Linked DNA regions of Caenorhabditis elegans. The protein of the gene in region 2 interacts with the protein of the main gene of each other region in a biochemical or structural test. Each region holds a gene or a part of one and is shown on either strand. Other genes may lie near its edges. The genes, in order: nap-1 and his-61.

Region 1 (4,301 bases), 890 kb from region 2:
TTTTTCGGGTCTCTTCGATAAAGTACATGCTAGAGAACTCGAGAGAAGTAGACGCAGACATATGTTCTCTTTTTTCGCAACATTTCGAAATTTGAAGAGAAAAAAACCGACGACATTTAACTCGAAAATGTGTGCAAATACTTTTTCTGTTCTTCAAATATTTTGGGAAAGTAACAAGTATTTGTCTATTGAGACTAGAACTTTTAGGTAACACCAAACTGTATAATTGAGATAATAATAAGAAGATTACCATAATTTGAATATCTACCTTCAAATGAAAAACCAGTTGGCATTGATTTACATAATCTGTTGATGGACGCGAAAACTTCCGAAGAGTTGTGCTGAAGAACAATTAAATACATCTGAAAGGAATGTGTTGGGTGATACCGGTAAACGTCCAAAGTTCGAGTCTTGGTAAATTAAAAAAGCAATCCTCTCGCAGAGACGAGTTTTCACATCATATCGTCTTTCGTTTTCGATGATAATCAATATCTCTGCTTGTGACAGTCCTAGCAAGTCTAGCGATTCCGAGCACTGTGCTTTTAAGAGGAGTTGGTAGCCGTCCAACATAATGCAGAGGGTTTTGAAATAGACGATCTCTCCTGAAAGATGTTCCAGATGGCAAGACCTCAGAAGGACTGAAATTCGCAACAAGGGATTTTATTCATCACTTAATGCAGGATCACGAAAATATTGAAATTCGAGTTCAAAGTCGACTCGTGCCAGCTCATTCAAATCCTATCATAACTAGTATGAAGAATTTGCGAAACAACATACACCAGGATGAAGACAACATGTATCAAGTATTTCGACGACAACTCGTTTTCAGGTATATCTTTAGAGATTGGGAGAAGCGGAATATGGATAGGTCAGGGAATAAACGACAACAACAAGTAACAGCAACAATCGGTTTTCCGCCTATTATGTGAAGGGGTTGGGAATAATCAAAAAAATTTTAAAAAAGAAAATGGAAAATTAATAATTTCAAAAATTGGCAAATTAATAAGTGGTCCATCGATACTGCTTAAGCCTCATCGTCACTGAAGTCTGACACATCATCACCGTCCTCTCCTGGGAAATCGAACATATCGTCTGATTGAAGTTCTCCAGTGTAGAAAAGAACAGCACGTGGAATGATGGTATCACGGATAGCTTGTCCCATCTCGTAGTCGAGCTCAAGGAACTCCTCTGCCTGTTCATCGTCCTCATCTTCATTTCTCTCGTCCTTGCTCTTTGGTGGCTCGAAGAAGTTGAAGAAACTATCTGCTTTCACAGTTTTGGTGAGGAACTTTCCAGCATTAGCTCCCTTCTTTTGCTTCTTCTTGACAGCCTTCTTGGTGACGTTCTTGCCGTCTTCCCACTCAATAGTATCTCCGACAGCGCGGATGACATGTGGTCCATCGAATTGGAGTGGTGCCTCCGCATCTGGGTCGAAACCGAGCAAGTAGGTCTTGGTAAGAACTTGGTTTTTGAAGTATGGGTTGGTGGCAAAGTGGAACTCGATTTTGAAACCCTGAAGTTCAAAACATTAACTTTCGAAAACAATGAAATGCGCTTACGGCTGGATCCTTGCTAGCGGCGGTCGTCACATCAGTGAGATATGAGAGGATTGGTACGTCATGCTCCTCGATGGCTTCAGCAACAAGATCATGGGTTCTGAGAGCGGTGAGCCAGAAATCCTTGATCCCCTTTGCTGATGGGTCAGCCTCCGCAGCTTTGTACAATTCCTGAAACAAAGAAATGTCAACTAATAAGCTGGAATTGTCATAGCCATATCATCGCGCAAGAAACACAATCCAGGAGCGGGAATAAAGGACATGTTTTATTTCGCAACGAAAAAAGGCGTGCCCCACGGGAGGCAAATCTCTTGAATAGTTGCAGGCTATATAGGGAATCTTGATTAGGAACTTACAGCGAGTTGATCTCCCTCGAGTCCTTCGAGGATTGGAGTGTCGATTTGTTCTTTAGTTGGCTCGACCTCTCCCGCGACAATAGCCTTTCTTTGATCGAAAGTGGATTTGAACTTTCCTTCAAACTCGATCTCGAGCTCGTGAACACGTTTGTAGAAGTCAGATTCAATCTGAAATAAATTATATACTTAAGAACATAAACAAAGAAAACTAACCTGAATTGTCTTCATTTGAAGGTTTTTGAGAGCGCAGACGCGTTGCTTGACATTGAGAGGCAAAGCCTGAATCATGTCGAAGTTGGTGCTGAGAAGTCCAGCGTCAATATGCTCTTGATCAGCCATTTTATTACCTACAAAGCATAAATAGATGATTTTGGCATACTCTTTCAAGCAAAAAAATACGATGATTTTCGAAAATTCGAGAAAAAATCTGTAAAATTATTGTGAAACGAAGCAGTGCTGTCTAAAATCATAGGACGAGAGTTGAAAATATATTTTCCAAACAACCACTTCGCTCCTCCTCCATAAAATGTCTCTTCGCGGTGAGACCCGCGGTTAAAGGCGCACACAAGCTTATTATTTACGAGATGGTCTTTCATGCCTATATTATTTTTTATCAATGTTTTCATATTGTCGTTTGTTTTCTGGTTTGTTTTGGTGATTTACATATAATAATTGTATTGATTTTTATTTATAAAAGTATGGATTTGTTATGATAGTAAATTCTCCTGAAATTTGATTGCATTTGAAACTAATTGTAGGCACTTTTTTTTTTAAATAAACAGTTTTTTGCGTTTCAAATTCTAAAATTTGATAGCTCTTCAAATAACCCACATCTTGGAATCATATTTCTCGTTTTCTCGATTCTCTCGAAGTTCCTTAAGCTATTAGAATATTACACATAGCATTCGACGCCAGATGTTCCCCCGTTCAGCACAAAACTTCTCACTTTACTTTAAATATTTTCAACTTCCGAAAATCTTAGCGAGTTTTCAAATTCATTGTTATTTTCAGGGAAAAATGACGACGTCCTCAGAAAATATGCAAATTATGAATGGCGTGGAAGTGCCACCGTTCAGAAATTTTCACGAGTTTCTGCTGGAAACCGATCGATACGAGGTAGGCTTGAATTGTTATTACATATATTTTTAAAGAAGGGCCAACTTTTGTAGAAAATATATTTACATATGTTGAAGTTTGACTAAAGTGGTCGTTTAAAATTTTTACTTAGAGTTTAATTTAAAAATAATCGAGTTTTTTATTTCAATATTCAAAAGATAAAAATCCAATTGATTGATTTTCAGCGTCCACCATTTAACGACTTCAAGAAATGGAACAATCGAATAATCTCGAATCTTCTGTACTTTCAAACCAACTACTTTGTTACAATCATCACTTTATTCCTTCTGCACACGTTCATCAGTAGCCAGGACATTTTCGTCGGTCTTATCGCCGTTGTCGCCGTAATTGCAACTCTAATCTTTGCTGTCTCGGCTGATGCAAATATCAAAAAGGTAATGATTGACGGGAATGTGATGTTTTTATATTGATAAGAAATTCGAATTGTTGACGGAATTGATAGGTACAAAGTTTTATTGGAATTTGGAATTCAAAATTAGTTTAAGTTCAAGTTTCAGATGCAAAACGCAGCAGCATAAAATTAAGCCATGTCCACCGTAAAAAATAAAAAGAGCTCGTTTTTACCGTTTACCTGAATAGGATAAGTTAACATATGTTTCACGTAACAGTTTGTGCACTTCGTTGATGAAAATTATTGTTGTGATAATCGTTTTTTTGCAAGTTAAAGCTAAAAAAATAATTGAAAAATATAGATTAAAACATGATGGCACATAAAATTGGTCCAAAAACAATTACTGAAACCAAGAATTACCAAAAAAAAATCAAGTTTTAAGATGCGCACGGATCATCCATTGGTCACTCTTGGAGGAATAATTCTCGTTGCCTATTTCTTCATTTCTGTCTTCCAATCCGTTCTTGTGGTTGCCTTTGCGTAAGTTTTATAAAAAATTACTAATGTTGTAAAACTGTTTTCATAAGTGGACAATATTCTTATTTAATGTAAATTTGTCGCAGTTATAAATGGACTTAATAATCAAATATAACTGTAAAAAATAAAATTCTTAATGTGTTTTTTTTTTAATTTTGCTGAAATTAAAACAAAGATATATTTATTTTTGAACTCCTTGAAAGCCGGAAAATCGCTAAAATTTTCAAAATTGACTTGAAAATCTAGAATCACATATATTTTTTTGCGAAAAGCTGTCTGAAAAAATATGGTTATTACAGTCCATCACCAAACGGCTCTACGTCACCTTTAAATAAAATTACCTAATAATCAAAAGTTAAAAAACCCTTTATATAAATGATTAAT
Region 2 (2,863 bases):
AGTACACTTGAAAATCAACTCTACGAACGATTGTTTGAGAAGGCTGAAGTTAAGGGAGATTGTAAAACAGACAAAATGCAATTAATCAAGTCTCTTCTTCAATGTCCATCACGAACACACCCAATGACTGCACTTATTGCATGTCTAATCATTGATCATGAGTTCAAGGATCCGAAACGTGACATTTCACTTGGATGGGATGTAGGATGCGTTCCTGTTAGCGCAAACTCTTCCAACTCTTAAATAAATTCGTTGGTTTTTATTTGTTTTATCCTGTAAACTAGCATAGATCTCAATAAAGGGGACTATTATTTTCTCAGTATTTTAATTTAATTTTTTACGCTCTATTACATCTTTCTACCAAATTATGGTAAATCATCGAGAAAGTTTTTTATTCAATTGTAAATTCAAACGATTAAATAAATTATATTCATCTTAAGAAAGAGAAGCATTCATTTTTTAACATACGACCTGAAGTTTGAAAGAAAAGTTGATAAAATCGAAATATTTCCTCAACACTGCTTTCCAGGTGAACAGAAAACGAAATAAATGCAAAGAAAAGTGAATCAAACAGGATTGAAGTTGATAGCTTTTCGAATTATCACAATTTCGTTCAACATTCACTATTAACGTGTCTTCAAGATTTATAATAATAAAAAACAATTTATTCAATTGATAGTTAGGATTTCAGATAATTGTGGCCCTAAAGAGGGCCGTTGGGTTCGGTTGGGTTTTTAAGAAAAAAGTTCTTATTCCTTGTCTCCACCAGTCTTCTTTGGAAGAAGAACAGCTTGGATATTTGGAAGAACTCCTCCTTGGGCGATGGTCACTCCGGCCAAAAGCTTGTTGAGCTCCTCGTCGTTTCGGACAGCGAGTTGAAGATGTCTTGGGGCGATACGGGTCTTCTTGTTGTCACGGGCAGCATTACCGGCCAATTCGAGAACCTCAGCAGCGAGGTATTCAAGAACAGCGGCCAAGTAAACTGGAGCTCCGGCTCCAACACGTTGAGCATAGTTTCCTTTGCGAAGAATACGATGAAGACGACCGACTGGGAATTGAAGTCCAGCTCTTGATGAGCGTGACTTGGCCTTTCCCCCGGTCTTGGCTTTGCCTCCCTTTCCACGTCCAGACATGATGAGCGGTTGGTGTTCGTAAGACGAATCTGAAGAATGAACCGAAACTGTCTGTTTATATTCATTTCTTCGGTGGCGGGGCGGAGCTTACTGCGGGGACACCTCTCGGTTCTCTGTCCCTCACCCTCCCCTGTTATCTCTAGCCTCATTGTTTGTCTGCGACACAGAGTCTCTGTGTCTCAAATTTACATGCATCGGTGCATTCGGAGTGTTGTGTGCACTCTGAAATGTGTCCCTGCAGGAAGCTCCGCCCATCCACCGCAGTTTTTACTTAAATATCTGCCGCTCCGACCATTTCCTCATACTTGATTCAAGTCCATTCTCATCATGCCACCAAAGCCATCCGCCAAGGGAGCCAAGAAGGCCGCTAAGACCGTCGTTGCCAAGCCAAAGGACGGAAAGAAGAGACGCCATGCCCGCAAGGAATCGTACTCCGTCTACATCTACCGTGTTCTCAAGCAAGTTCACCCAGACACCGGAGTCTCCTCAAAGGCCATGTCTATCATGAACTCCTTCGTCAATGATGTCTTCGAACGCATCGCCTCGGAAGCTTCTCGTCTCGCTCACTACAACAAGCGTTCTACCATCTCTTCTCGCGAAATTCAAACCGCTGTTCGTTTGATTCTTCCAGGAGAGCTTGCCAAGCACGCCGTGTCTGAGGGAACCAAGGCCGTCACCAAGTACACCTCCAGCAAGTAAGCCATTGGCTGAAAACTAACCAACCGAACCCAACGGCCCTCTTTAGGGCCACAAATATTGAAATCCTTACAAAACTACATGTTCGTTAATAAATTATATGCACTCTTATATATTCACGTCTTTTATATTAGGTCTTTTCTTGAAATCTTAATCTAGTATTACGTTTTCCTAGCCTTCGAAGGAATTCAAGAGTTCGAACTTATCATTCATAAAAATGCGTTCAATCTAATCAATCTAAATAAAATAAATCTCGTCTGTTTAATGAGGAAACTCAAATTTAATTAAGGTGGAATTTCACATTTCAAATGTCGCAGAGGAAATCGATCGGTGACCGAAGAAGCTTAGAGAAGGTAACATGAAAATGTCTATATTCACGGAAATTTAAAGTTTGTGTCACAAAAATAATAAAGGCAACAAACTAATTAAACAACAAATTTTAGACCATGTACCAAGAAATTTAGTTTCAATAATCTTCAGAACACGGTGACTGCTCTGGTGAATTTCCAAGCGATAATTTGTTCAGGCAAAGGAACACATTAAACGTCGGAATAATGATGGTGATTGTCAGCTTCATGTGCAAAATTAATTAAATTTTTATCGAACCTGATGATGAAATTACCTTAAAAAAATTTATGATATTGTATACAGCGTGGCAAAACATTTTTATTAGCAAAGAAAAATTAGGATTTTGGATATTTGTGGCCCTAAAGAGGGCCGTTGGGTTCGGTAATTGGTTTGTATGAAAACAGAAAAGACAAAAGAAATTATCCTCCGAATCCGTACAGAGTTCTTCCTTGGCGCTTCAGAGCGTAGACGACATCCATGGCGGTTACGGTCTTTCTCTTGGCGTGCTCGCAGTAAGTGACAGCATCACGGATGACATTCTCAAGGAATACCTTCAAGACTCCACGGGTTTCCTCGTAGATCAATCCAGAAATTCTCTTGACTCCTCCTCTTCTAGCGAGACGACGGATGGCTGGCTTGGTGATACCTTGGATGTTATCACGGAGAACCTTACGATGGCGCTTGGC

The links.
Region 1: the proteins of his-61 (region 2) and nap-1 are reported together in a solved structure, tested with the Caenorhabditis elegans proteins (one study listed by BioGRID).

The regions. Positions count from the first base shown.
Region 1 is NC_003282.8:8,377,061-8,381,361, forward strand, and holds nap-1 (Nucleosome assembly protein 1-like 1), read right to left. Parts: upstream 2,260-4,301; 5' UTR 2,252-2,259; coding exon 2,126-2,251; intron 2,081-2,125; coding exon 1,913-2,080; intron 1,882-1,912; exon of another isoform or gene 1,760-1,881; intron 1,728-1,759; coding exon 1,560-1,727; intron 1,514-1,559; coding exon 1,025-1,513; 3' UTR 645-1,024; downstream 1-644. Other genes in the region: D2096.7 (ELYS domain-containing protein), read right to left, coding at 251-341, 388-570; praf-3 (PRA1 family protein), read left to right, coding at 2,930-3,028, 3,214-3,423, 3,823-3,920.
Region 2 is NC_003282.8:7,485,085-7,487,947, forward strand, and holds his-61 (Histone H2A), read right to left. Parts: upstream 1,134-2,863; coding exon 750-1,133; downstream 1-749. Other genes in the region: Kinetochore-associated protein rod-1, read left to right, coding at 1-243; his-62 (putative histone H2B 4), read left to right, coding at 1,461-1,832; his-60 (Histone H4), read right to left, coding at 2,597-2,863. UniProt on the Caenorhabditis elegans protein: Core component of nucleosome. Nucleosomes wrap and compact DNA into chromatin, limiting DNA accessibility to the cellular machineries which require DNA as a template.